4 linked regions of the Astyanax mexicanus genome follow. The protein of the gene in region 1 purifies or fractionates together with the protein of each later gene. This does not show direct contact. Links are inferred from orthologs where the notes say so. Each region holds a gene or a part of one and is shown on either strand. Other genes may lie near its edges.

What was found.
Region 2: the proteins of map3k7 (region 1) and ripk1l purify together in Homo sapiens (affinity purification with western blotting; 5 studies listed by BioGRID, with this or other methods). This does not show direct contact. The link is inferred for Astyanax mexicanus from reciprocal best matches to the Homo sapiens genes MAP3K7 and RIPK1.
Region 3: the proteins of map3k7 (region 1) and tgfbr1b purify together in Homo sapiens (affinity purification with western blotting; 3 studies listed by BioGRID). This does not show direct contact. The link is inferred for Astyanax mexicanus from reciprocal best matches to the Homo sapiens genes MAP3K7 and TGFBR1.
Region 4: the proteins of map3k7 (region 1) and peli3 purify together in Homo sapiens (affinity purification with western blotting; 3 studies listed by BioGRID and IntAct, with this or other methods). This does not show direct contact. The link is inferred for Astyanax mexicanus from reciprocal best matches to the Homo sapiens genes MAP3K7 and PELI3.

The regions. Positions count from the first base shown.
Region 1 is NC_064408.1:47,758,426-47,766,203, forward strand, and holds the start of map3k7 (mitogen-activated protein kinase kinase kinase 7), read right to left. Parts: upstream 3,168-7,778; 5' UTR 2,335-3,167; coding exon 2,248-2,334; intron 932-2,247; coding exon 821-931; intron 153-820; coding exon 87-152; intron 1-86. UniProt on the Homo sapiens protein: Serine/threonine kinase which acts as an essential component of the MAP kinase signal transduction pathway. Plays an important role in the cascades of cellular responses evoked by changes in the environment.
Region 2 is NC_064415.1:8,725,654-8,733,402, forward strand, and holds the start of ripk1l (receptor-interacting serine/threonine-protein kinase 1), read right to left. Parts: upstream 3,297-7,749; 5' UTR 3,058-3,296; intron 2,538-3,057; exon of another isoform or gene 1,568-2,537; intron 1,280-1,567; exon of another isoform or gene 370-1,279; intron 243-369; 5' UTR 236-242; coding exon 75-235; intron 1-74. Other genes in the region: dusp22b (dual specificity protein phosphatase 22-B), read left to right, coding at 6,042-6,062. UniProt on the Homo sapiens protein: Serine-threonine kinase which is a key regulator of TNF-mediated apoptosis, necroptosis and inflammatory pathways.
Region 3 is NC_064413.1:43,271,498-43,279,179, reverse strand, and holds the start of tgfbr1b (TGF-beta receptor type-1b), read right to left. Parts: upstream 3,235-7,682; 5' UTR 3,106-3,234; coding exon 3,036-3,105; intron 1-3,035. UniProt on the Homo sapiens protein: Transmembrane serine/threonine kinase forming with the TGF-beta type II serine/threonine kinase receptor, TGFBR2, the non-promiscuous receptor for the TGF-beta cytokines TGFB1, TGFB2 and TGFB3.
Region 4 is NC_064415.1:31,438,353-31,446,535, forward strand, and holds the start of peli3 (E3 ubiquitin-protein ligase pellino homolog 1), read right to left. Parts: upstream 3,173-8,183; 5' UTR 2,757-3,172; intron 1-2,756. UniProt on the Homo sapiens protein: E3 ubiquitin ligase catalyzing the covalent attachment of ubiquitin moieties onto substrate proteins. Involved in the TLR and IL-1 signaling pathways via interaction with the complex containing IRAK kinases and TRAF6.

The sequences.
Region 1 (7,778 bases):
TGCAATGTTCAAATCAGATTATACAGTTATACAAATTGATGGGTGCAAACAAAGTGATGCAGAATTGCTTAAACTGAGGCACTTACAGGATTGTCACAGGAGCCATACAGCTTCACAATGTTGGGATGATTTACTCGAGACAACTGACGAAGCTGGAGATGAAAAAGAAAGAGTTACACTGTGAATCAGAGTCAGTTCCTGTTGTCTACCTGCACAGAGTAGAGTTGTGCTGCAGCTGAGTCACACTATTGGCTAAGAATCAAGCCCTTCTTAAGTCAAATTGAGAAAACCATCAACCTGCTGTGTAGGTGGACAACTGGGCACAGTGCTTGGCAGATGTCTAGCCTTCTACACAAGTTGGACTAACTGATCATCAATCTCTAATGATTAAGCCTAACCTACAAAGAGCATGGGTGTAACTAGTTCAAACTAGTTCTAAAATGAAAGTAAAAGGTTCAAAATTGTTAAAACTGTATTTTAAGAATAAAAATGCAGCAGTCTCTACTCACTACACAAAAAGTATAGTTCACTTTTTCTCTGTCCTCCTGTGTGCTAAGCCTGCTCACACTCACCATCAAGCATCACTCTTTATGCTGTCACTGTCTGGCACTTTTAATTTATTAGGTTAAGCTGCAGCCTACCAATCAGCCATTGTTTAAATTCGAGTGAGAGAATGAACACAATTTTATCTTCTTATCTTCTAAAAAACTGTTTAAAGAGAAAGTAAAAATGAAAGGACTGGGTTGATTTGATCCTGGAATCGCCCCTGGGTGTAGGACTGTTTGTGTGATGAATTAAGTAAAACTTGATTTCACTGTACCTCCACTATAAAGGCAGTTCTTTCAGATTCACTCTCTATGGTCTTGATAGCCACATCTTTGCCCTTCCATTTGGCCTTGCAGACGACACCAAACGCTCCTCTGCCCACCACCTGAAAATGAGACATTTGCTTCGTATGAAGGATCCATGTAGGTTTACTGGGCAATCTTAGCTAGCAATGTGAGGTTTAACATCTGTACATAGACGCTGAAAACCTGTGTGTTTGGTATATTATTTCTTTGTTGTAACAATGTTTATTGGCAATAGATCTTATACAAAGAAAACCCAGTTAATTCTTACTGTAAATAAAGCAACATTTGTAATTGTGAGATGCGCAGCAGAGCTTAGTATGTGGCTTGTGCCCATAATGTTTTCTTGAAATGCTCTCTGCTTAAGAGCAAATTTACCTTCATGTGATGCCCCCTTCACAGCCTCTAACATTCACCGTTATATGTAACCTGGCCTTCAATTTGAAGATACTTTTACAAGGGTTCCACAACTAGGTTTTGGAACAACTAGGAACAACAGCTTGAAGCTGCCCTATGTAGACTATCCAGCTCATTCAAACATGGCATGCCAATTCTTTGCTGTGGGTAAACAACTGGATGTGGCATTTTAATGCCCTTCAAATGTCCAGAACATTGTCCTTTACATGTGGAAATAGGTTAACTGTTGTGTTTGTGCACTTTTGGAGATGCAGGTTGAGTTGATTTTGACCCCTCTCCCGTTGTGCTTCTGTCCCCAGTACTTTGTGTAGTGGACAAATTGATGATTAGTCGACAACGACTATTCTGATTCAACTTCTCGATTATATTGACTAATCATTGCATGCCTACTCACAGGTGCTGCCAATCAGGTGCCAATCATGTGGGGGTACTAGAAGCTCAAAACAAATTTCCATAGCAACAGCATAAGCTAAGAAGATTTGGCAAAGTTTTCATGGGCACAAACCAAAAACTCAGGTTTAATCTGCTCATCCATTAAAAGCATGTTCATTAGGTACACATGTGAAATCATTTAAAAGGGAAATTAATTGACAAGAATCACTGTTAAAGAAATAATCTACCAAACACAAATGCCCTTAGCAAATTTGCGTGCTATGTTTAAATAAGGTATAAATCAGCATGTGTACTGTAACGTTAAAGTAAAAACTGCACTGAAAGTTTATCTAGTGAAAAGTCTTGCTTAAGATTTTTCTGTGAAAAATATCTAATTAAAATAAAACCGGTTTTTAGGTAGAGTAGCTAGATAACGTAAGCTAACCTAGCCTAACCTTAGCCAGGTGTACTGCTGAGGTGTGTGCTAGAAACAGCTGAACAACTGTGACAAACCGGCGTGTTTTACTGAATTCTGCACATGAATATGAAACCCCACTCACTAATTATCTTTAATAAAGCTAAAGAGAGATACAGGGACAGGTTTAGTTACCTCTTCCACTTCGATATCAGCATAATCTATCTCCTCAAACGGATATCCAGGTGGTGTCTCAAGCATCTCGGCGGAGGGGACAGACATTGCTAGCCAGCTAACCGGCTAACAGCGACCATTAAAAACACAAAACCGAACAAAGAATGGCGATTCTGGAGCCTAAACACATTCAGCGGTTACAGTGAAGGACCTCTGCTATTCAACCACAAGCAGAGGGACTGGTTCTCCTAACGAGCCCCGCATTACACCGCGAGCTTCACAGGAATTTCACCACTTTAAAAACTTCTAGCTCCCAGACCAGCAGCCCCAAAACGATAGCTAAGCTAAGCTAGCGCTAACCCGTCTATCTGAATGCAACACTGGCCCGAGAGAAGCGGGACAGGCGGCTTTTAAACAAACCCGAGTCTGAAGGACAGGGTCGGCAGTACATAGCGTTATCTAGCTAAACTTCTCCTCCTAAATTCAGCGGAGTCTGAAGGTTAGCTCAGAAAACAACACAACACAAAAAACGAGCTCAAACTGGCAACAACAAAACTCAAGACTGCGATCCGCAGCTGAACTAGCGCTTGCTAAGCTAGTTCAGCTAGGCTAGGCTAAGCTAAGCTAAGCTAAGCCGCGCTCCGCCGGGCCGCACAGGGGAGGGAGGAGCAGCTCTCGGCCGCGCAGCGCTCACTCCACACCGGCGCCCAGGCTCCTCACCACCGCCTCCAAACCTCTTAACATTTCAGGGCGATTTAGACCACCTTAAGTGTCCGTTTCACGCGACCAAGGCCTTCGGCCCATTACAGAAGCGGTGGAGAACTTTTAGCGTGTCTCCTCCATGGAGCGCGTGTGTTGTTATTATTATTTTATGTGTATTTTTCTTTTCCTCCGGCGCAGTACAGACTGACTGACTGCTGTACTTCCAGGAAGTTGAGCTCCTCTGAATCCTGCCCTCTCCAGTCAGCCCGCGGTATGGAGCCTCAACCTGCTCCAACACCCAGCTCTCAGAACTACAGCTCTGGAAAAAAATAAGAGACCACTTAAATGTGAAGAGTTCCTTTAATTCACCAAATGGAAAACCTCTGGAATATAATCAAGAGGAAGAATTTTGTTTTGAATTGCTTGAATTGTTGCACCAGGAGTGGCATAAAGTTATCCAAAAGCAGTGTGTAAGACTGGTGGAGGAGAACATGCCAAGATGCATGAAAACTGTGATTAAAAACCAGGGTTATTCCACCAAATATTGATTTCTGAACTTTATATAAGGTCTAAGCTCTGCATCTTTATGTTATTAAGACATTTCTCATTTTCTGCAAATGAATGCTTTAAATGACAATATTTGTATTATAAATTTGGGAGAAATGTTGTCTGTAGTTTATAGAATAAAACAACAATGTTAATTTTACTCAAACATATACCTATAAATAGCAAAATCAGAGAAACTGGTCTCTTAATTTTTTCCAGAGCTGTAATTCTTTAGGTCTGGAGCTGATCTCTACATATACAACCATATGAACTGACATAAAAGCATCTAGTGTTGATGTGAATAATGATATGAAGTGATGTTGATCTAGGTAACATAATACATAAATGCTACACCTAACATCTTGAGTCACACATAGAGCCTATTCCCATTTCCTATACTCTGCTGTCCTGCTCACACACCTACACCAGACTGGTAACTTCCTCCAATTTACAGCTAGGAGGTTGTGGATATTTATGATCTGATCAGCAACATTTAACCCAAACATAAAGATCCAACAACTAACAACAAAGTTTATGATATCATCAGCAACGTTTAATCCAAACATAAAGATCTGACACCTAACAGCTAAGTTTATTATCCAATCAGCAAAATATTACCCAAACACGATGATCTGACACCTAACAGCTAATTTTATCATGACCCAACTGACGAGGGAACGACCAAACAACAAATTTCTTTTTTTTGTTTTCACACCTAAAAGTCTTGACCAAGTTTCATATCTTTTTAAAATTGAATATATTTGGTCTGGTTTGCTCCTTGTACAGTTGCACCCCACAGAAAAATGAGTGTAAAAGATTATCCTCAAATTCCTTTATTTCTGTTTTATGACAAACAGTCAAATTAGTCTGAAAGTTGGAACCATTTACAAAAGTGTTTTCTCACTGCAGACCATGGAAGACCCAGACCATGGTTCAGTAGATCCGGACAGAGAGCACTTTTGGTTGGACCTACCTCTGGTTCTTCGTTTCATGCACCATGATTCATGGCCACTTTCACACCTGCTACTTTGGTTCAGACCATAGCAAAAATCTGAAAGTTCAGAACGAACAAGGCAGGTGTGAAAACACCCTTAATTCTTGCCGCTCTAAGGACGTCTGACACAACACCAACACATTACCACCAAGGCATTAAGGTATACGCTGGAAATTCTAGCTTGCATGATCTGTACACTACAGTTTGTGATACATTATGAGTGTTTGATAGTAAACTATCTAGGGAATAAAATGAGACTGTTGAGATTTATGAACAGCTTTAGAAAATGGCAGACACTATATAGTGCACTATTTCTGTAATAGAGAGCTATCCTGAATGCAGCTGTAGGTTCTAAAACAGGATAGGATGGCAAACTAGCTCCATTATGTTTGTATATCAGGGCTGCATGATATTCAAATAAAAACTTCTCATTCAATGTTTTTCTCATTTCTTTTTTTGTTAAATTTATTTTCTACACTGTAGATTAATATTAAACACACAAAAACAGTTAAGTAGCATATATGAAATTATGTAGTAAACAGAAAGTGTTTGGCCTTCACAATCCCCTGACCTAAACCCAACTGAGATGGTGATTTGAGGTGATTTGGGATGAGCTGGCGCTTTACAGCATAAAGGAAAAGCAGCAACTATTCAGCAACTGTTCTTTATCACCTCCAGGGACTCTGCATGTGTTCCTGTAGAGCTTTAATGTCTGTTTAATGTTACATTTAACAAGAAACGTTGTGTCCAAAGATTTGTCCGCAACATAAAAAACAGGCCTTTTCACAAGCTCATGTCCCACGAATGAGTGATCCAATATGATATTAATATTGTTCTCTGTGTATCCAAGATTGTAATACAATTAGTAATTTTGGACAGACATAATATGCCCTAGATAGACAGATTCTTCCAAAAAAGTTAATTAAATAGGAATGAAAGGAAATATTAATATAATTAAGTATTTCAATATTTTGTTTTGCAAAATCAAAAATCAAAAACACAGTATTCATTTTTAATTATTGGTTTATATGTAAAGATTGGTGGCAGACAATGGTTCATTTAGTGTTGTGTTTAAACCCCACCCACTAGAGAGGAGTGTTGTACTCAAACCTTAACCTAAACATTAAATCTACTCTAAAGCTAACTATAAAATGTTAAGAGTACAGTTCAGGTTAAAGAGTAAAGAGCATTCAGTTGCATTTAATAGACGTAGGGTCGGACACCCTGTGCAAAGTGCGTCTCGATGCTCATTGCTATTTTACACCCTATCAACAGTCTATTTTCACGCCTTGCACCCGCACCGTTAATAGTGTGGGAGTTTAGGAATAAATCTACACTGATGGGTGTGGTGGTCTGGAAGTGAGGTGTGTTGCTATTTTGGCGGTGGAAAACACAGGATCTCCACTGACTGAAATGATGCTGCATGTGCCCAGCAGCCGTACACCCCAGCTAATTCAGCACACACACATACACACACACACACACACACACAGAGCGCAAATCCATTTTTTAATAATAAACAAAATAAAGAATGAAAAAAACATTTCTGTTTTCTTAAATAAGCTGCTGCCGTTCCTTCATAGTGTGAATGCGCAGGTCAATCTCATCTGCTGAGAATCACAAAGTGCTGCCCTGTTAAGATACGAATGTGCCAAAGTCAAAGCACACCTGCCTCTTAAAGGGAATGAATGGCAACTAACACACTGATTGATTTATTTCACGTTAAGCCCAAAACACACTCATGATTAATTAAGAAAATTAATACCTGCGCGTTTTGAGCTGAGCAAAGGGGTGCTGTTTTCGCCCACACGATACCAAAGAACTGCCAACACGCCCTAAATCCAGTTGTGCAGATCCACAATTGACCGTTGCACTATAGATCGCTAAAATAGGGCCCATTGCGTTAAATATTATTTGAGCATCTATGAGGCATCTGTAATGACTCATCCAAATACAGTAAAGTGATAAGTATTGATTTTAGCATTCACAATATATTACATTACTTACAGTATTGTCATATATTTTAATATAATGGATTGTAACCCCTGTATCAATAAGTTTATGCCAATACACTGCCTTAGTATTAAAAATGAGTCTGTCCCCTCTTTGTTGCAGGACTTGTGTCTGCTCTTTCGGGAAGGTTTTGTACTAGATGTTGGAACATTGCTGCAAGATTTTGATTGCATTCATCCTGAAAGCGAGAGCATTAGTGAAATCAGACACTCACTGGATGATTAGTTCTGGTGCGGCAACTCATCTCAAAGGTAGAAAAAAACAAAATAAAACAAAAAAATTAATTCCATGTTGCAGTAAACTTTCAGAATACTTTTACAGCTTATTTTGTGTGCAGAGCTAACTAGGCTTTGGTTGACTGCATGCAGCCTTTTTGAAGTTTTTGTGTGTTAATAAATTTGACAGCTCTGTATAATATTAGAGCTTAGTGTCCAACCTCACACACTGGACTACACTGGACTACCCGTTTACCCTTTGGTCTGTTTGCTGTGTTTGTTTATGTACTGTGTTTGGTTTGAAGCAGTGTGACCTTGTGCACTGTGACCAGAGGTGATGGGAAAATGATCAACAAAATTGCATTTGCTGAGTAACCTGAACACATGACTTCAGCGTTCTAAAAATAAACTCAGGATTTCAACCATCATTTGGTGACAGCTGAATATGATCCCTATTAATCACCACTGCTGGAAAAAACTCAAACAGCAGTTGTTCATATTCAGACAAGGGTGTCTGTCCTCCCCGTGCATTGTGCAGGCCCTGACTGTGGAATTCAACAAGTTTCTCCATAATTCAACAGTGTTATTTGAAGTGAGTTTGGTGTGAATTGATTAATTGAGGAGAGACGCACATTATTTAATTTGTTTATTAATAGTGGTGGTAAAAGGAACTAGAATTTACAATAAGTATAATATAAACATAAGCACCTCATGCACTATTCAAAATGACCAGTTTAGATATAATTTATAAAGATAATATAATGCAGACTCATCACCTTATAACATCCTGCTAATACTTCCCTGCCAAAACTGCATAAAGAATACAGCAAAAAAAAAACAACCTAATAATAATAATAATAACAATAAATAAAAAGAAAAACTCACAACTACTGTAAATACAAATACAATCACTGCACTGTTAAAATGGAATTTACATTTTAAAGCAAAGTTATTTTAGTTGCCAGAAAAAGTATTTTTAAATATATTTTACTGTAATTTTACAGGACTAAAAGTTATAAACCAATCTTAAAATTCTGTAAAATATACAATGTGATCTTGTCAGGATACAGAACACTGAAATA
Region 2 (7,749 bases), on another chromosome or scaffold:
ATGTATCGAGTGTTTTTGAGAACTGGGTGAATTATGAACACCTTCCTAAAGAACACCAACCCAATAACACTCACTCATTTCGAGGTGGTCCCGTGTACACGGTCTTCTGCACCACCTGGCCCAGGGTTTTGTGGTAGCACAGGTAAACCTCTCCAAAGCCTCCATAGTCCAGCCGCTTCTTCCTGATCAAGTCCGAGGACTTCATGTAAATGTCCAAGCTCGATCCTGTAGCCATGCTGTGGCTGTTTAAGATAAGATTACAAGATAAAAATGTATTATCGTCCTGAAACTGTTCAAAATATTAAACTAATGCACATATTCTTTTTTTATAGTGTTCATATTCTGTATCTATCTATAACACTAGCCCACCTGAGGAGTTGTGTAACCTGACACCACTGAGGAAGTGATTTACACTGCTAACACACACAGCACAAAGACCCTCTAAACCAACTTTAGGAGTGTCCTAACACTTCCGACACAAACAAATCTCCACCAAAAGCCTTCTAAACCAACTTTAGTAATATACTAACACTTCTGACACAGACAAACCTCCACAAAACACCAACAGTATAAACCAAACGCCTTCTAAACCAACTTTAGTAATATACTAACACTTCTGACACAATCAATACTCCACCAAACACCGACTAACACATATCCAACAACCAGGACCAGTATCACACGACCAAGCCTCCACAAAACACCTACTAACACAAGCCACAACAACTAAGGACTCTTTAACCAACACAAACACCTTCGGAACCAACTTCAGACATGTCCTAACATTTCTGACAAGACCTTACTTCCACCAAACACTTATTACCACAGCCTAATGCCTAAAACCAACACGTAACACCTACTGAACCAATTTTAGCTATGTCCTAAGACTTCTGACACTGCAAACAACTCCACCTAACACCAACTAACACATCCTCCAACACCTAAACACAACAGCAAAACTTGAACTGAATCGACTTTAGAAATGTCCTAAAACTTTTGACACTGCCAAAACCTCTATCAAACACCTAAATTCAACACCAAAACCATCTGAACCAACTTTAGGAATGTCCTTACACTTCTGACACTGAACAAACCTTCAAAACACAAAACACAAACATGAACAATATCTGAACACTTCTTGACACAATCAAACCTCCACCAAACACCTACTAACACAAACCAAACACCTTCGTAATCAACTTAATATTAATATCCTAACACCTTTGACACAACCAAACCTCCACAAAACACTTACTAACACACACTCAACAACCAGCACCTGTACTAAGACCCTCTAAATTACGTTTATTAACATCTTAACACTTCTGACACAACCAAACCTTCACAAAACACCAACTAGCACACATCCCAACACCTAAAACCAGCATCACAACCTTCTGAACCAACTTAATAGTAATATCCTAACACTTCTGACACAACCAACCTCCACAAAACACCTACTAACACAAACCAAACGCTTTAACCAACTTAATTGTAATATCCTAACACTTTTGACACATCCAAACCTTCACAAAACACCAACATACACACACCCATCAACCAGCACCAGTACCAAAACCATCTAAATTACCGTTATTAATATCCTAACACTTCTGACACAGCCAAACCTCCACAAAATACCAACAGTATAAACCAAACGCCTTCTAAACCAACTTTAGCAATGTAGCAAAGCAACTTTTACTATTTCTGACAAAAAACTCCACCAAACCTCTATCAAACACCAGCTAACACCTTGCCCCTGGAACCAACACCAGCTACACCACATTTAGTAATATCCTAACACTTCTGACAGAAACCAACCTCCACCAAACACCTACTAACCAAACGTCTTCTGAAGCAACTTTAGTAATATTCTAACACAACCAAACCTTCACAAAACACCAACTAACACACATCCTGACACCTAAAACCAACCTCAACAGCCTCTGAACCTACTTTAGGAATATCCTAACACTTCTGACATGAACAAACCTCCACAAAACACCAACTAACACATCCAACAACCAGCACTAATACTAAGACCCTCTAAATCACCTTTACTAACATTCTAACACTTCTGACACACCCAAACCTTCCCAAAACACCAACTAGCACACATCCCAACACCTAAAACAAGCATCGCAACCTTCTGAACCAACCTAATAGTAATATACTAACACTTTTGACACATCCAAACCTCCACCAAACACCAGCAACACAAACCATACACCTTCTAAACCAACTTGCAATGTAGCAAAGCAACTTTTACTACTGACACAAAAAACCTCCACCAAACCTCTATCAAACACTTGCTAACACCTTGCTCCTAGAACCAACACCAGCTAAACCAAAATTAGTAATATCCTAAAACTTTTGACACAACCAAACCTCACCATCACACACTTAACAACCAGCCACAGTACTAAGACCCTCTAAATTACGTTTACTAACATCCTAACACTTCTGACACAACCAACCCTTCACAAAACACCAACCAACACAAACCAAATGCCTTCTAAACCAACTTTAGTAACATCCTAACACTTCTGACACAACCAAACCTTCACAAAACACCAACCAACACAAACCAAATGCCTTCTAAACCAACTTTAGTAACATCCTAACACTTCTGACACAACCAAACCTTCACAAAACACCAACCAACACAAACCAAATGCCTTCTAAACCAACTTTAGTAACATCCTAACACTTCTGACACAACCAAACCTTCCCAAAACACCAACTAGCACACATCCCAACACCTAAAACCAGCATCACAACCTTCTGAACCAACTTAATAGTAATATCCTAACACTTTTGACACAACCAAACCTCCACAAAACACCTAAAATCAACACCAAAACAACTTAAGAAACACGTTTTACTAACACAGCACAACCACAACCAGCACCAGCCCCAGTACCACTCTAAAACACTTCCAGTAATGTCCTAACACGTCTGACACTGCCAAACCTCCACCACACATCTCCTAACACACCCAGTATCTACAATCTACAGATGAATCAGTGTTACTGTGTACAGAGAGCAGTAAGTTACCGGGCTGAAGATCTGAATGTAGCTGTGGATCTTCAGTAACTCCAGCTGAAGCTCATGTTCTCCTGCTGCTGCTCCTCCGGCCGGGTGTTCAGTAGTAAAATCTCGGTATATAATCAGCATAAAGTGTAAAATAATAATAATAATAATAATCAGACTGTGTGTTTCACTCACCCTGATCTACATTCCTCTGAGTTCCTGAGGAAGCTGTGTGTGTGTGTGTGTTCCGGGTTCACACACACACACACTGCAGAACTGAAAGTAAGAAAAACCCCCTTCAGACCAAACTAATCACCACCAGAGACCAGACTAGTGCTTCACACACTCACACACCTACAGTACAATAATAATAATAATAATAATAATAATAATAATAATAATAATAATAATAATAATAATAATAATAATAATAATAATAACTAGAAAGGGAAACTTTGAGTTGGCTTGGAAAAATGCCAAAAAGTCCAAAAATTATTTTGCTGAAATTGTGGAATTCTAATAATTTTGTCGGATATATTAGTTTCCAAAAACATTAGTTAAAAGCTAAAGTCCAAAAACGTTTGACTAAACTTTGGCTAATTAAGCAGTGTCCAAAAACAGTAAGCTAAACTTTGGCTAATAGAGCAGTGTCAAAAACATTTGGCTAAATGCTAAAGTCCAAAAAACCTTTGACTAAATGCTAAAGTCCAAAAACCTTTGGCTGAATTCTAAAGTCCAAAATCCTTCGGCTAAATGCTAAAGTCCAAAAACCTTTGGCTAAATGCTAAAGTCCAAAAACCTCTGGCTGAATTCTAAAGTCCAAAATCCTTTGGCTAAATGCTAAAGTCCAAAAATCTTTGGCTAAATGCTAAAGTCTAAAATCCTTTGGCTAAATGCTAAAGTCCAAAAACCTTTGGCTAAATGCTAAAGTCCAAAAACCTTTGGCTAAATGCTAAAGTCCAAAAACATTTGGCTGAATTCTAAAGTCCAAAATCCTTTGGCTAAATGCTAAAGTCCAAAAATCTTTGGCTAAATGCTAAAGTCTAAAAACCTTTGGCTAAATGCTAAAGTCTAAAAACCTTTGGCTAAATGCTAAAGTCTAAAAACCTTTGGCTAAATGCTAAAGTCCAAAAACCTTTGGCTAAATGCTAAAGTCCAAAAACCTTTGGCTAAATGCTAAAGTCCAAAAACATTTGGCTAAATGCTAAAGTCCAAAAACCTTTGGCTAAATGCTAAAGTCCAAAAAACCTTTGGCTAAATGCTAAAGTCCAAAAAACCTTTGGCTAAATGCTAAAGTCCAAAAACCTTTGGCTAAATGCTAAAGTCCAAAAACCTTTGGCTAAATGCTAAAGTCCAAAAAACCTTTGGCTAAATGCTAAAGTCCAAAAACCTTTGGCTAAATGCTAAAGTCCAAAAACCTTTGGCTAAATGCTAAAGTCCAAAAACATTTGGCTAAATGCTAAAGTCCAAAAACCTTTGGCTAAATGCTAAAGTCCAAAAACCTTTGGCTAAATGCTAAAGTCAAAAAACCTTTGGCTAAATGCTAAAGTCCAAAAACCTTTGGCTAAATGCTAAAGTCCAAAAACCTTTGGCTAAATGCTAAAGTCCAAAAACCTTTGGCTAAATGCTAAAGTCCAAAAAACCTTTGGCTAAATGCTAAAGTCCAAAAACCTTTGGCTAAATGCTAAAGTCCAAAAACCTTTGGCTAAATGCTAAAGTCCAAAAACATTTGGCTAAATGCTAAAGTCCAAAAACCTTTGGCTAAATGCTAAAGTCCAAAAACCTTTGGCTAAATGCTAAAGTCCAAAAACCTTTGGCTAAATGCTAAAGTCCAAAAACATTTGGCTAAATGCTAAAGTCCAAAAACCTTTGGCTAAATGCTAAAGTCCAAAAACATTTGGCTAAATGCTAAAGTCCAAAAACCTTTGGCTAAATGCTAAAGTCCAAAAAACCTTTGGCTAAATGCTAAAGTCCAAAAACCTTTGGCTAAATGCTAAAGTCCAAAAACCTTTGGCTAAATGCTAAAGTCCAAAATCCTTTGGCTAAATGCTAAAGTCCAAAATCCTTTGGCTAAATGTTGGACAGGCAATACTTTTGGTTAGCTGTTAGTCCAACAATGTTTGGTTAAATGCTAAAGTCCAAAACCTTTGGCTGAAATGGTGGGGTGTTAATACTTATGTCTCATACAGAATATAGAATATATAGCAGTGTCCAAAAACGTTTGGCTATGTGCTAAACTATGGCTAAAAGAGCACTTTACCAAATCGAAAAACCTCTGGAATATAATCAAGAGGAAGATGGATGATGACAAGCCATCAAACCAAACTGAACTGATTGAATTTTTGCATCAGGAGTAGCATAAAGTTATCCAAAAGCAGTGTGTAAGACTGGTGGAAGAGAACATGCCAAATGCATGAAAAAAATAACAACAACTGTGATTAAAAACCAGGGTTATTCAACAAAAAAACTTTATGGATATGAACTTGTTTTTGTTTTTTTTGCATTATTATATTTGAGGTCTAAAAACTGTGCATCTTTTTTTTTTTGTTTTTTCAGACATTTCTCATTTTCTGCAAATAAATGGTCTAAATTACAATATTTTTATTTGGAATTTGGGAGAATTGTTGTCTGTAGACACTGAAGTGGTCTCTTATTTTTTCCAGAGCCGTATTTAAGCATTTGTACTTTATTACTTAAAACCTCTGCATTTTGAATTAGGATTGTTTCTGGCTGGTTATGCTCGACTGTGTGATAATCTATAATCTTAAACCATTTATTATTTTTTTTATAAATAGCCATTTTGTTTTATAACAACTGTCATATAGTTTGTGCGTCTCTTTAAAAATGCGTTTAGCCTAACAAGGTAACAAAACTACATATCCCACAATGCCTGAGCTGTACGCATGCGCAGTTGCGTTTTGGTGACAGCGCAAGGGCAACTCTAGTGTAATCAGACGCGGAGTAATCAAACTGCCCCAGTGTGAGCAGCGCAGAGGAGCGGAGCGGACATGGGGAACGGGATTAATAAGGTAAAACAGCGCTCTGACAGCGGTCAGCGCGCGCGCGCGCGCGTGTGTGTGTGTGTGTGTGTGTGTGTGTGTGTGTGTGTGTGTGTGTGTGTGTGTGTGTGTATAGGGGGTGAATCAGAGGAAAGTTATCAGTGTGTGAAGTGTGTTAGTGGATCAGAGTGAATGTAGGCAGGTTTACTGCTTTATTTCAGTGTTTTTCTCTGTATTAATGTGAATATTTATTATTTATTTATTTATTCTGTGTTTTTTTCTGATAAAACACCCACACTGGTGGTCCTGAGTGGGCAGAGGGGTCTCACTCACTCCCTGCCTTCACCCACCAGTACACTGAGAGAGAGAGAGAGAGAGAAAAGAGAGAGAGGGAGCATGATGTACTCACTACTCATATTAATGTCATCAGGATGAGTTTCAGTGTGCTCACACACCAGTTATGCTAGCATGCCAAAAGTCATGGGACAGCATTTAACCCTCTGTGGCATTGTATTGGTCTCAATGGACCTTGGCATGGTGTTGCCCGCTGAGACAAACACTGGCCAATGTGCTCATGGCAAGGCGACATGCATTATCAAAGTTCTAGTGAGGTCTGATATATATATTCAGAATATCTCATTTCTGTGTTCTGGAACTGGTTCTGTTCAAGATTATAAGAAACTTGTCAGTAACCCAGCCCACGTTTGCACCAGTTTTAGTAAAACTGTTTTAATGGATACGTCAGAGAATACGTAATCAGCAGAGGGAGTTGCACACAGTGGCTCTCGGTTTGCACTGAAGATCCTGCTATTCTTTGGTTCCAGAACAGAGCCTGATCCACATTGGTGGAAAAGGTCCAATAGTGGGTGTCAGATGGACGGGACGTTCCATTGCCAAAGTTTTGTGAACATACGTAGCTACTTTTGTCTAACAATATACAATATTACTCCAGAATTAATTGCTAAGTAGCATTCAAAATACAATGTATCATTTCAAATAGCAATTCGTTAAAATAGCAACTATTAAAATATATATATATATATATATATATATATATATATATATATATATATATATATATATATATATATATAAATCCTAAATAAATTAGATATAAATCCAGTGAAAAGGTCTGTTCATTTTAATGGGCTCCCTCTGCTGAGAAAAGCATAATGGACAACATAGATGTCATAAAAAAAGAAAATGTATGGCAAGTCGTTAATGTAACCAAAATACTGAAAACTGTATTTTATATTTTACATGATTGTAAAAAATCTTATGAACAGTTTGTAGCATTTACCTTAATACTGCCAAAGGAATTAGACTTTTCAGCTTTTCAGACAGGGCTTCCCCACTTGCATGCAGACTCTCATTCACTCTTGGCATAACGAGCAAGCTGATTGGCTCATTTTCTCGAGGGGTGGATTTTATTTTATGTAATGATCGTCACCATTGGCATTTGGCTTGAACAGTGTATACGGACTCAAATCACGTCCATATTTAATATAGGAGGCTCCACACACAAATCACAGATATCCATAGTGTTCATTAACTTCCATTGGACATGGAAGCTTAATTAAAGCAAATTAAAGCAAATTAAAGCAGCAGATTGCATGCGTTGGAAGGGGTGTCCACAAACATTTGGACAAATAGAGAGCGAGATACAGAGAGTACCACTGTAGTTCACAAATCTAAAAATACTCACCTGACACATACA
Region 3 (7,682 bases), on another chromosome or scaffold:
CACATCAAATATACTTTTTTACTGTATTTACATTAAATGTATTTTAAGCAATATGCTTTGGTGAAATAACCCTGGTTTTTAATCACAGTTTTTATGATTCCTGGCATGTTCTCCTCCACCAGTCGTACACACTGCTTTTGTATAACTTTATGCCACTCCGGTGCAAAAAAAAATTAACAGTTCAGCTTTGTTTGATTGCTTGTGATTATTCATCATCATCTTGATTATAGTTCAGAGTTTTTCAATTTGGTAAAATCAAAGAAACTTATCATTTACTTGTCATTTCTGTACATTCGTTTACTACAGTTCGTGTTTGATGAAGTGATTAGTTAATAAAGTTATTTATTTATCCAGCTTATCCAGGTAAACGGACGGGGGGGAGCGGATGTAACGTTATTTGGGCAGTTTCAGTCCTTAAACAGTTCTGCACTCTTAAGTTACTCTTAAGCTCCTAAATGAAGGCTAAACAAATAACAGGTAGCTGAAATAAACTTATTTTTGACATAAACACAACATTAACAGAGGCAGTTAGGCTGACTGAACAGAAGAACTGTGGCTAGCCCGGTAGGTTGGCTAGCTAGTTAGCTAGCGTAGCTAGTAGACGGCTTAATCAATTTGCTATCATCTAAAAAAACGTTACGCTAATGTTACATCTCACTCAAGACGTCTAGCCAACGACAGTCTCTATTCTAGCTGGCTGGAAAAGCTCACGGTTCAGGCTGAACACCATCAGTATCGGTTTATCTGTGTGTTTAACGTTAACGTTAGCCAGCGAGCTAGCCAACCCAGGTTAGCTGCTGTAGTAGTGAGGCTGTGTAGCTAGTTGTTACTGAGAGACGGGCTGCTGCTGCTCTCTGTGCCGAGTGTGTGTGTGTGTGTGTGTGTATGTGTGATAGTGGTCAAAACACAATCTAAACACATTTACCGTTAAATAAAGTTCAGTTTAAGCGTTTAGATGGATACAAGAACATTTCAGCACAGGTTTACAGCTGTGTAATAATGTGTCAGCACATTTAATCACGTTTAATGGTGTATTTCTCTCTCTCTCTCTAAACCTAGCTAACCTAACGTTACCACTGGGGCTTGGGAATCACAACATTTCTTCCAGCAGAGCAAAAGTAGGTTAGTTATTTAGCTGGCTTATGTTGAATCAACGTTTTCAACATATTTCAATCTCTAATGCGTTGAAACAATGTTGATGTAAATGCCAGGGTTGATTTAGATACTATTTGTCCATTTTATTGAGTGTACATAGATTTTAGGTTGGTTCAACATTGATTCAACGTTATGGTTTCATATGTAGCTTAGTTATTGTTTGTTTTAGAAAGCTTAACTTGTTTTATTTAGCTAACTACATTAACCTGTTATAAATGTAGCTAGGTGTAACCTAGGTAACTCATTAACAATTTAACTACAATAAGTGTGCACATTAATTTGCAGTACTTAGCTAGCTTAACTAGATAATTCTTAATTGACACTAGTTAAGACATTATGTATCATGATAGAATGTTTAACTAATGTCTTAATGCATTGTAGGCTATATACACCATTCTCAGGCATTACAATTTAATAAATCAACAATAATTAGACATTGAGACTTTAGGTTACTTAACTTACAAAAACTTAACCCTATTTAACTTAGTTAACCAAGCTGGCTTATGTTGAATCAACGTTTTCAAAGCGTTCAAACAACGTTGATATATCAGACTATATCAATGTCAGATATGATTTATTTAGCTAGTTTATTTAGTGTACATAGATTATAGGTTTAATCAACGTTTTGTTTTCACATGTAACGTTAGCTAATGTTTGTTTTAGAAATCTTACTAGCTAACTACATTGTCATAAATGTAACTAGGTTAATTAGCGTTAGCTAGCTACCATTGAGTAGCTTATTAACGTTAGATTATTAACGTTTATTAACGTTAGCTAACTAGTTAGATAATTATTAACTGAAACTAGGACATTAAGACATTATTTGTCATGGCAGAATGTTTAACTACAACGTTCTCAACCATTAAAATTTAGTACCAACAACAATAAATTAGACACTGAGACTTTGAGTCATTAGGTTACTTAACTAGTTAGTACTGTTAATTGATGTAGGTTAGCTAACTAACCTACATTGTTATAACTGTAGCTAGCTAGCGTTAATTAGCTTATTAACACATTAATTTACAGTACTTAGCTAACGTTAACTAGATTATTAATTAACTGCCACTAGTAAAGACATTATTTATCATGACAGAATGTTTAAATAACGCCTCGATTCATTGTTAGCTACTATCTACAACATTGTCAAACATTACAATTTAGTAATCAACAATAGGTCACATTAGGTTACTTTACTAGTTAACTAGCAAGGTTAGCTAGTTAGTTAATTAGGTTAATTAACTACACTTATTGTAAAGTGTTGCCAATATGTACAGCTAGGTTATCTTGTTTGTATTCTATTCTTAAAGCATGTAATTGCTGTGTTCAGAGCCAGTTCATCAATCCATTTAACGTTAACTTATAAACCTCTACTATGAAGAGTTGCCAACTTTTGTAGTTAGCTAGTATCGTGGGGAGCATTAAATTCAGACCAAACTCCTTAACGAACTACGTAACCTAAATAGTTAACTAACATACGCTAGTAAGCTGTTAGTTAACTAAGCTAGACTGCTAGAGGACTGTGTTTGTTATTGTTGTAGTTAGCGAAGCGCTGTTGATTCTTCACAACAACACAAGCCAGGTCGCCTTCGCTCTTTTTATTTAGCTAACGAGCTACGTTAGGTTATCTGTCCTGTGTTTAGTTATCTCTTCCCCTCGGTTTTTTCTCTCTCTTCTCAAAAAGAAAACACAAAGAAAGAAAGAAAACATTCCTCCGAAAGCTCAGCTCTCTCTCTGACCTGCGCCATCTTTGAAAAGAGTCTTTGGGGCCGTAGCTCCTTGAAACAAAGAGGAAAAACAGCGGACTCTCAGACAGCAAAACTTCACGGAGCAGAGGCTGAAATAACGGAGTTGGGGCGAACCACAGCCCGGCGGCGCCTTACCTTCAGACCCGCCGATCCGCGTCCCGAACAGCAGGACCAGAAACAGCAGACAGCGCGGTATTGCATCCATCCTCGGATCAGACTTATTCTACACTGCCTGCTTGTCACACACACGCGCACACTCACACACACACACACATACACATACAACTTCTCTCCAGCTAGCTAGCTAGGCGTGTGTGTGTGTGTGTGTGTACGGTGTGTATGTAGAGAGAGAGAGCAAGGGGGGAGAGAGAGAGAGAAGCCTGTGATAGGCTGGAGCCGCCACTCCCCGCCCAGACCCAGGAAAAAAAAAAACTCACAGTAGACCGACAGACAGACAGAAAGACAGACAGATTCACAGCATTTCTCCTCCTACTCCCCCTGATCTACACTCTCTATACACCCGCTACAACTGCTTTAACACTTTAACAGGTGATACACACAGGTATGGAGGAGTGTTGAAGTCATGTATACACAATACTCTGGTGATATTCAGCACCAATCAAAAGCCTGGACACACCTTCTCATTCAGTGTTTTTCTCTATTTCTTTATTTCATTTATTTTCTACATATTTCATTAATATTAAAGACATAAATAACTATTAAAAGGGACACATATGGAATTATGTAGTAAACAGTAAATAAAAAGCGTTTGTCCTCCACAATCCTCTGATCTAAACCTGATCAACTGAGATGGTGATTTGAGGTGGTTTGGGATGAGCTGGAGCTTCACAGCTTGAAGGAAAAGCAGCAGCTTTTGTTCAGCACCTCCAGGAACTCCTTCCTTCAAGACGCTGAGAAAACTATTCCAGGTGCCTCTACCTCATGAAGACACTGAGATTAAAATACCAAGAGTGTGCAGAGCTGTCCTCAAAGATAAATGTGGTACTTAGAAGAATCTAAATTATTAAACTAATTCAGATTTTTTTAACAATTATTTTATTTTTTTATTTATTTAAGAAGCACCATATTCACATTTGTGTTGGACACAGATGGAATTTGGCCTCTGCCTCTAACCCACCCATATAGTGAACACACACACACACACACATGCCCGGAGCAGTGGGCAGCCATTGGCCTTACTCAGACATCCAACAATGGCAGTGTGTCAAACCAGGGTATCAAACCCACAATCCTGTCATCATTAACCCTATACTTTAATGATTGAAATAACAATTTTTTCCTATTAGAAACAGGTCAATATTTTAGTACACTTTTTGCAAATTCTGGAATTAAAAAAAAAAATCTGATTTCAGGATTTGCTAATAGATAAGTAAAAATGTAATTTTAATACACTCTCAAAATATTAAGGTATTTACTTGCAAGAAATAGGTACATATTTTGTATACTCTCCGACTGTCTTTACAGTCTAAAACAAAGGTTTAAGGTACTCCTGAAAAAAATGGCACCTTTGCTTATTTAGTGTAAATAATTAAACAAATCTTCTGCTGGAAACTCAAACTTCGATAAGTCACATCACTGTCCCAGAAGAGTAGTGACAAGTGTTCAAATACACTTACAAGATAACACCTCACAACTTATACAGGTGTGAGTGTTCCCAAGCCCCCAAGGTAACATGCTCAGTTTGCATACTGATATCCCATGACTTTTGGCATGTCAGTGTAGGTATAGTGTATATTTTGTGAAATAATAGTATAACTTATTTTCACTTAGAAAATCAACAACACATCATTTACTCAGGGGTAACCTCTTGCATAAGTTGCATAAGAGTGAGGAGAGAGGAGAGTCTTATTAGACTCAGTGAAACAGAAATAGTGACTATATATGTCAAGACATTTCAAAAAAGTCTCATCGACCGTCATCACAGTGTGCATCGAAGGCTTTTATACTTTTTAAAGTTATGTTTGACAGTGAGTAAAAGTTAAATGATTAATTAAATAGAATTGAATGTGATCATATGAAGCATAGACTGTATATAGCTTATATCTTTTTACAGTCATTGATCTGAAGTAAATAGGGTTTGATACAACCAGTGAAGCCACAGACAGGGTTAAAATCAGACTGAGGATTGTAAAAACTGCAAGACAAGGAAGAGGATGGCTCAGCTGCTTTTTAGATGAAAATATGAAACATTATGTCTGATGGTAGATGGGCAATAATAGTAAATCATGAGACCTGGATATTTCTTCCCTGTAATCAGGAAAAAAATAGAGTCTAGTAGCCTTTATTCAATACTGCCAGGCATTTCAGTGACCTAGAATGTCTGAAAATATTCATATCTATCGGTAGACTTAAAGATAGACCTACAAAGAAAAAACAATGTGATTGATTAAGCACATTTGGTTTAATATGACCTATATAAAAACAGTACTTTAATGACAGAGAAAAATAATTGCTTAGGCTTATTACTGCTTAGTAATTTTATGTAGTTCCAGTGCTGTCTATATATAAAAACTAAGCTGTAAAAGTAACTTTGAATTGATTGTTTTGTGATGTCACAAAAACAATACATTTGCACAGTATAGTCTTCCCTTTAATTAATTCACATATGGCAGCTTAGCCCCGCCTATTCAGACTCAAGTTATAGGGGGTAGTTCAGCCCACATTGCTTTCTGAATGAGATGCAATACAGGGCAGACACTCAGAACTCAAAACTCTCAGTTTTAGAGGCACAGTTACAAAAGCAGACTGTTTAAATTTAAGTAAGAGCTAAAATAATGTTGCATAATGGTCATGTAAAAATGTAGTATAATATATTATACTTAACGTAAATTACACACATTGAAAGACAACCAGATAGATGTTGCTATTTTACAGCCATTACATTATATAAATATAGATTCTCATTATCTATCAATAATATATTTAGCTAAAAATGTTTTTAAAACGGAATTAGTATCACAGAATATACTGCTCGACAATATATCGACCAGCACATCTCCTAAAGTCATGGCTGCAGTGCCTTATGCATATATTCATCAGGACAGGACAAAGAGCCTGACCTCCTGCAACCTCTAACTCCCGTTCACCCATCTACGGTGACAGAGATTGACGACTGCCTATTGTTTGATGTCCGCCTGGGCCTCCTAGGCCTTGGATACAGGCTTTGGATACTGAGCAGTGGCCCCATCCACTTCTTCTAGCTACCTAAAAACCCTTGTGCTTAAAAAACATAGGCTATCGACTCGGGCTGCAGGGGTCCGGGGGAGCACTGGGGTCATCAGCAGGAAGCAGAGTCCTTTACATATTGCTAAAGCCTATATTTGCCTGTCCATGGACTGTGCACCCTTAGCAAAGCAACACAAACACGAGCGGCATTGCCTGGTTGGTTGTAATCAGCCGGTGCAGGCCGTGGACTGTCGGCACTTTTATCTGCCGTCCCTATTTTTGGTGATCGTAACTGGGTTCAAAACAACCCCCATCGCCAATCACTTGGCTGCCATCTGGACGTCGGCCATTGCGGTGTGCCTTCCCCAGTTGGATCTGACTGCAGGCGGGGAGGGGCTCTGAGTGCAGACCCTGCAGTGTCATATCAGCTGGCTGCATGTCTAGACAAACGTTGGACTTATCAGTCAGTAATGAACCTAAATGAAACCCTCATTCAAGCATGCACAAACTGTTTACATGAGCTAAGTACTTGTGTGGCATTCATTTACACTTCCTCCACAAATCAGCTTAAATAGATGCACAGTGCAGAAAATAGAGGCTAAATATATTAACCATCAGTTATCAAGTTATCATATATTCATTATCATGTTTCAGTTGTATGGAAATGAATACTGGCATTGAAAAAATGACTGGCAGCAGAAGGATAACAAGAAGAGCCAAAATGTAAAAATCTTCAATAAACAACACCAAGATAAAATATTCCCAATTATTTACTGCCATATTCACAACAAATCTGCTTTGTATAAATTCTTATCTTGGAAAAAAGGGCCTAGGCATAACTTTGAGCCATACTGGCAAAGGCCTGTGCCGCGTCTTGCCTAAATTTGCGCCGAAAGTCCGAAACAAGCAATTAATTTATACTGTGAGATTTGGAGTGTGATATTCTAAAAAAAGAATCCCTGGCTATTAAGCATTAATGGGAGTTAGCGATAAGTAGGGCAAACACAAATGTGTAAGCTTAAGGGAATATTTTGCCCTGGAGTGCCATTCTTCAACAAAGTACATGGGCCAAAAAGATAACAGCATTCGCTTGCTAATTAAACAAATACGCCGTGTTACATCATGAATAACAGTGCAGAGCTGAGAGGAATTAGTACTCTTTAAAAGGTGTTGTGAGCTCTGGGATCCTGCAGGCCCTGATTATGGCACATTGTTGAGATGGTATGCAATGATAAGATGTGACATTAGAGATTATCAAAAAAATATCAACAACACAGTTTATCTTAGATTTATTACTGTGAGGAAGAAAAAAAATTTAAGCAAGTGAGGCCTCAGGACAGATGAGTATTTTTTCAACAGGCAATATAGGTAAAAGATAGACAAAACACCGGTTGTACGGTCAATTGAGACTCAAGTATCACACATCCTTTTTTATTCCATATATATATGGAAGACAATATGGAGTTTTGTCCCCAGGTGGTGGAATGGATGAGCAAAAAATAATTGAAGTGTAACGAAAATATTACCGCAACTACTTTAACTATTGTGGGCTCTATTTTTACAACTTTACTGGACAAACTAATATCTATAGTCTTT
Region 4 (8,183 bases), on another chromosome or scaffold:
TGGATCACTGACATTGACATTCTGTTACAAATCTGATAAAATTCTTTATTTTTTTAATATAATCAGTTAGGGGTGTACCATGTCATATCGTATGCAATAATAAAATTAAAATTTCATTTTGTTGCAGTAGAGTATTCTTGGTTTTTTTTTTAATTCAGTGTTTGTTATATTGCCAAGAGTATCGTGAAAAAATACCACAAAAATTGTGATATTATTTTAGGGCCATATTGCCCACTCCTACTCTATAGTAAATTAAAACTTTATTGTTTTATATTATACAGTCTCCTGACAGTAAAATAAGCCACAAATATCAATAAAATTCGAGTCATGCAAAAACAAAAAAAAAGAAGTAAATAACAATAATATTTATTAATACAAATACTGTGATATCCTGTGAAACCCTCAGAATTTTTAAATATACTCTGATATATATTTCTGGTCATACTGCCCAGCACTACATAATAGATGTTGTTCATGTGTTTGAATTATTGTCCAGCACTGTAATGAGCTATCCCTTGTGTTAGGATCAGATTTCTCCTTTGAGATGTGTCCCTCTGAAAGTCAGATATAACAAGAGCTCAGCATCCATAAACATCACTGTGAGCCCTGTGACACAAGACAGGATCACATTTAATCATCTGTAATATGCTTCAAATGATGTTTAGATATAGGATAATCTAAGAACATTACATAATACCAGGATTGTGCAGGGAAGCGCTTTCCAGGCCTCCAGCAACATGCAACCTCTCATGCTGGCCATTTTGCAGCTGTTGCCACGTTTTTTGTAGCACAGTGCTCACAAACAGGGTTGTACCTCAGGGATATTTCATCATCCGTGGATTTACAAGTGAAATAGAGGACTAAATATGAACTATGAGGGCTGTGATGGTCATTATGTAATGGTATTACGGTTGGGCTCTCCAGCTTGCATCGCCAGAAGCATGTGTGCTTTGAGACGACGGATTGCACGGCATTGCGTCTACAGGACTACACACACACACACACACACACACACACACAGACACAGACAAACACAGACATTTTCACACACACACAGCACAGCAAAACTGAGAGAGGAAGGACACTGTTGAACGTGGGAAAAAAACAACACAGGACATTTCACAATTTCTTAACTGCCTTTTTGCCCTTTTTTAGAGTCATCTGTTAGCTGGCTAAGCTGACACTCTGCCTATTTAACTAACTATCCATAATTATCATGATTTGCCAACCAGACTGTTAGTTATCTATCTATCTAACTAGCTTAGCTAACTAGCTGTTATAGCATTGACATTAAATAGCTAACTTAGATTAGCAAGCTAAAACAGCAAGGCTAGCAAAAAACACTATCAAAACGAGTGTATTTTACCTTAAAGTGTGTCTTATTTATCATATTTGCCTGGTTAAAAAATAAACAGTCAAGCCTTTTATTCTTATTCTAATTGTCCTTTCCACCTTAAATAGAGCAGCAGTTACCGTTTACCAGTTACCATTACTACAGTTACTGCTGTGCCATTTAAGGTGGAACGTGTAAAAATTCCTGTAAAAAGATAAACTACTGAAAAGATGATTCCAGCTGTTCTTTAGCTAGCTAACCTAGCTAGCTAATGCTGCATTAGCTAACTGTAAACCTAAACTACACTAAAACAGCAAACTTGGCACAAACCAATTAAACAGTGAACTATTTTTAAATGTTGCAGCTTATAAGACTAGATAAAGCTTGTTTGCTTAGCTATAAATGTGAAAATCAAGCGGTTTTAGATTAAAGTTAAGCTTCTTTAGAAATAGAATGTTCAGTTCCACCTTAAATTGTGCAGCTTTTAAACTACCTTTACTGTGTAAAAGGGAGGAAATCATAGGGAATTATACCACAGTCATTTCCAACTCTGCTATGTGATTGGCTGAGAGGCATTCTATGAGTGCCGTTATCAGCCGGTAATATAAGCACTGTGTAACTTAATGTGTAAGTTAATATTGGTACTGTTGTGCTGATCTACGGCCGCAGCACAGCAGTGCCAAAATTACATTATAGCACTTCCTCTTGTGTACTATTGCTTAATTCATCATCTCACACGATATGATAATATCACAATACTTTGCCCACGATAATGATGATATAACAATACTTGATATTCTACAAAACAACTCTCTTTAATACTTTATAGCATTTGTCTAGCTAATTAAAGAGGATTCAATACTTTCAAATAAGCAAATAACAGGAATTGTGTTTTTGTGTGTGTCAGGTTACACAGTAACCTAAATAGCTCAGCTTTCTGTTGTAAAATAAAATTAGAACGGTTCTGCGCCTGTTAAAATGTCTCTACTCTAAAATCTTTTCAAACTGTGTACAGCTTACAGAAAAATATAGATAACAAAAATTAAAACAAAAATACACTAATGCAAAAAAGTATCAAATATCCCTATCGCCAAATAATATAATATGATATATCGCCATATCGATATTTTGTCACACCCCTGTTACTACTAGCTACTGTTACTGCTGCGCCATTTAAGGTGGAACGGAAAAGATCAAATCGAGTAGCTAAAAGCCTGATGAAATTATGGGACGTGCGCAGGGGATTCCGTCCATTCTCTGCCCAGTAAATACGATTTATTTCGCTACAAATCGCCAGAAAACGCCGACTAACCGTGAAAGCCCTCGGACACACAGACCAGCAACCAACCAAATCCAAACCCAGCACCAAACCCAACACCGTTAACCGTCCGTTAGTTATCTATTTATCTATCTATTTACTCACCCGCTGCTGATGTTGTGTTGTTCTCCGCCTCGCGTCGAGCCCGCGTTTTGCCTCGTCAGTCCCCGTGTGCTGTTAAAATCTGGAGTCGTGCTGCTGAATCATCGCCCGCTACGGAGATCTGGACAGCGCGTCGTCGTGTGCTTCGCATCGCCACGGCAGAGGCATCGCTCACGGAGCTGCGGCGTGAACGGACGTTAGTCCGGCAGTACGGAGCATCACCTCGCTCCGGAGAGTCGTCACGCCCATCGCTACCTCGCGTTTCCCCTCGTTAAAAAAAAAGAAAAGAGAGGAAGAAGACGAAAGAAGAAGAAGAAAAAAAAAACAGTCCAGGGAAGGTTTTCGCCCTCGCCCACGTCGTTCTCTTTTCGCTCGCGGAGGAGAGACCACGACTCTTGCGTAAAGCCTCCCCCCCTCCCCCCCTCCCGCCTTCAGAGAAAGGGAGAGCGCGAGGACGGCAACGCCTACCTGCTGCTGCCCACGCCTGCTGATGCTGCTGGAGATACACTGATTATACACTATCCCCACCCGTGCTCGGGAGAGCCACGCCCCCCTCCCACAGGATTGGCCAGCAGTCAGTGCGAGTTTAATTCTAAATCAAGGGTGTTCCTTAATATCAATTCATATCAAATTAAATCAAATAAATATACAGTGGTGTATTTGCCTCCTTGCAGATTTCTTTTTGCATTTTCAGAATTCAGATTATCAAACAAACTATAACAAGACAACAATAGTAAATAAAAAAGCAGCTTTTAAAATGATGATTTAATTTATGTAAAAACTGTGATTAACTGCATTTTTGTTAAACTGAGATTAATTTCACTAGCCACAACCAGGTCTGATTACTGCCAGACCTGTAAAATCAAGAAACCTCCTAAAAAGAACCTCTCTGACAACACGAAGCAGCTAAAAGATCTAAAAAATAAAATAACACACTATACCTCGATATGAAAAAAAAGGAAAAATTGGAGCAAACAGAGCTATTGTTTTGTGAGAATTTACAGTCTGTGAGAATTTACATCTTCTCCCCCACCATAATCCTCAGCACATTGACATGATGGTACCCAAAAACATAAGCATCCACTCACTCCACTGTCAACTAACCTGAATGATCATGTGCAGCAAGAGGCAAGACAGCACCAGCATTTTAGTTCACCACAATTCCTTATGTCCATGAACCCCTGTATCTGCAGCCTTAGCCTTTATCTAAGAAAAATAATTAGCTAATTACCAAAAGCTAAACTTAACTATTAGATTTTTAGCCTAGTCCCCAACATTAAGAATTTTCCTTATTCTCAAATATCTTCAGGTAGGTTATTCCAGAGTTGGGGGCTTTTAAAGACAATAATGTGGTTCGTAATACCAAGTTACTTTGCAAGAACAAACTCACAAGAACACAATGACTGAGGACTGTGCTGTGTACTTACTATTGTGCAATACAATGAGCCCAGCTGACTACATCACACATAGCATCAGAGATGAGCAACAGAAATGATACAAATGGAAACTAAAAACAGTGTGCGCAATACACACCAGCAGAAAAGTGTTGCTAAATTTCCCTCTAGAGTGTAAAAAAGACAAAGAGCCATGTTGGCTTCTCTTCTCACGGGAAAAAAGTATTAAGTACCTTTTAGGCTGCACATTCTTGTGATGAATTCAGATCTTGTGTCCTATAGATCAAGGCATTCTGAGAATGTATCTATTGTTGGACTTCTGCCTTCCCAAAATAAAAGTGTGCTGCTATAGAAGTGCCACCTCTACTAGAGAATGTCCCGAAGGGTGCCCTTAGATGAAGTAGATACAATGGAACGTAGTGCTGGGTTCTGCTACAGGCAAGAAAACATATCCAAGAGCCCTAGTGGTGTCCTTAGGATGTTTGAGGGACAACCATGCAGCCTGAGGCCACCACTGGCCATACAAATGATCCGCTTTTCAGGTTAGTCACTGCTACCTAGTTAAGCTATGGCTGCCATAGGAGCGTATTTGAGTCTTGAGAAACAACATAATGAACAATCACTGTTTGTATCAAATAAACTAAGATTTTTAAACAAATGTAAATATGATAACTTAGGGCGTTTTCACACCAGCACTAGACTTTGGTCCAGTTAAAACCAACTCTGGTCCGTTTTTTAACTTTAGTGCGGTTCGATTGTGCAGGTGTGAAAAAAGTAATCACACTCCGAGACCTGCTAGAGGAAATTGTCTCAGTTCATTCCCAAATTAACTCTGAAGCGGTTCACTTATGGTGAGAACTTGATCCCGTCTCGATCCGACCCAACTATCAAATCAAGACTCCTTTCATTTGAGCTAAACTGCTGATAAGGCTTACTACAGCTATGAACAAGCACTGTCTCTGCTCCGTGCCGTGTACATGCACGTTCTGTGCTGTGGCCACTTCTGTCAGACTAGCAACTAGCAAGTTTATTATGTGTACAATTGTGCTGCGCGTCCTATTAAAAACACTGTTTGAAAGGGCAGCGTTTCAGCCTGTGTGAAATCAAACCAAACAGAGGGAGAAACCTCTCCAAGTAAACAAACTCATCAACTGATTCAGACCATAAAAAACAACTACATGCAGGGCTGAAAACACCCTTAACTACAATTGTTTGACCAGGGTCTGATCAGTGTATTCTGCCATTGCTTCAGTGCTGAATTTACAATGAATGTTAAAAGTTCACCACTAATGGATCTACAGTTTTTGGGGAGGAACAAAAAAATATCTGGGAACTTTAGTGCTCCATTTCCTGGACAGGAATTCAGTCTATAGCTGTAGCCTATATTTTCATTTCAATGGAAATTCTAAGACTAGGCTTAATCACTGTCTAAGAAACTGACCTTAAATATTCTTGGTAAATGCGTCCAGTATTTGTGTTTTGAAATTTAAACCTCAGACAGCAAAAGATGACGTTAGGCAAGAATGCCTTGCTCTACATGTGTGCCAACATGTGTATTGTAAGCAAACCACATGAGTGGATGTAAGCAAGTTTGCTCTATGAGAAAAAAAGAGTTTTCCTTGAGTTTCATAGTCAATCAAAAATTCTATTCAAGGTTCTTCATTTGAAAGAAAAAAAAATCCGAAAGTGACATTTGCAGATTCAACTGCAGTCAGTTTTCTTGATTCCAAAACTCACAAGCCACAAGACTCAAGCTCATTTCACACATTCACGTTAAACTGATATTTGCTGGTAACTGAAACAGGAAGGGGTTAAGTGTGACTGCAAGTGTTGGGTAATTTACCACAGCATGACTAAGATAAAACACGAAGTCATTTAAAAACTCCCAGTCTTGATGAATAACCATGACCATGAGACACCTATTTAGGATTTAAATAAGATTAAGATTTACTTGACCTACAGTACCACTGAAAAGTCTGGGCATATATTCTCATGCAATGCTTTTATTTTTTTTCCTACATTGTACATTAATACTGAAGGCATATGAAGAAAATGAAGGAACACATAAAGAAAAATGTAGTAACTTATAAACAAACCACCATTTAGGTGAATCTTATCTGGGGTGATGTTAAAGTGTGGTTTCTGAGGCTGGTAATTCTTTTCAACAGAGGTAAGTCTTGGTTTTCATTTCCTAGGGCAGTCCTGATGAGAGCCAGTTTCATCATAACATTTTTGATGGTCTTTGCAACTGCACTTGATGATATTTTCAAAGTGACTGACCTCTTAAAGTATTTTCTTTAATTAATTGAGTTGTTTTTGCCATAATATGGATTAGAATATTACTCAAATAGAGCTATTCACTGTATACCCACTCTACCTCTTCACAACTTTACAACTAATGCTCTCAAGCTCATTAAGAGGACAAGAAATTCAAGTAGTTAACTCCTAAGTTCAGCAGAGCTGTTAACCCTTGTGTGGTGTTCATATTTTTGTTACTCGTTTACTTTGTTACTTGTATTTAATTCAGCAAAATTAAGCAATTTTACATTAAAATGCTTTACACATGCTTGCTTCACCTAAATTGCAAGCAAAATAAACAGCTTACATGGTTAATATTTGCCCTTTACCTTTCTTATGTTACATTTCTTTTAAAAAGTGCTACTCTTTTTTTATTATTTTTTTAATAAAATGTAAAAGAAAATGAATTAAACTCAAGATATGAGTAGAAAATTTGTTTAGTTTCAAATTTACAAATGAAGCAATGTTTATTAGCCCTTGTCCAAACATACTGTATGTAATATAAATGGTTGGGGGGGTGTACAGTATGTGCTTATCGAAAATGTGTTTTGATATATGTTTTTCACAAAAAATGAGCCAATGCCAATGAGTTTGAGTTAGAAAAAATATTTTTTTTGTATCATTTGGTGAAAAATGGAAACGTCCCACAGACCCGAACATCACACAAGGGTTAACTGAAAGCTGAACATTCCAGGTGTGCAATACTGTCATTTAAGCAAGCAAGCACTTTGAATAATCTAAAATCTAAAGTTATGGTTCATGGTTTATATGGTTTGTTTAACGCATTTTTGTTTACTAAATAATTTCATATGTTTTTGAATATGTTTAACTGAGTTTATATATCAGGGTTCATATGCTACAACATTACACCATTTATGAGTATGATCAGTAATTGATTAACTTAGATCACATCAAAATGTTCTACAAGAGGGCATCAATCAGCATCTTGAAATAGGATATCAACCAATGACAATATTTATCCAAATATAATGGATTACACATATTAAGGTAGTACAAACTGATTATGTTTATTTCTTTATGTCTAAAGGTCTAATCATTACAGAGCTTCAAAGCATCGACTCAACCTGGAACTTTAATATTCATGAGGATAATTTCCTTTTGTTTGATTGTATATTGAAGCTACTGGATCTTAAAAACAACATTTAAACTTATATTTTCACAATTATGGGTCTTCATGTACCCAGACTGTGTTCATTATCCCAGACTACAATCAGGTCACTTTCCTGGAACTATCCATGGTGCTGAACTTCAACACCTCTTGTTATCCAGGGCGCAATAAAAAAAAAAAAAAACTCTTAGCATTAAGAGCATCTTAACATGTTCAGCGTGTTTTTTTGAAAATGGAGTCCAGGTTAGGCTTGTTAGCCCCTTAAACAGAGATTTTTCAGAGGCACACTTTAAACTGAGGGTTATGAGAATAACTGGTAAGACGGCAGAATGAGTAACATAAAAATAAAATAAAATAAAAGCTAATCAATGCTAATTTCAGCTCCCCATCACAGAGGAATTAAGTAATGGACAATAATAATTCATTTCTGCACCATCTCCCTTATACACATGAGTAAAAACCTGACTCACACAGGTAAAAAACACAGATGGACATTTGAACAGAGTTGTCTGCAGTACAACTGGCATCAGATGAGCTCCTTGACTCTGCCTCAAATGTCTTCTTTAATTTGGCTTCTGTCAGAAGGAATGCTTCTATGCCAGTGGCCTG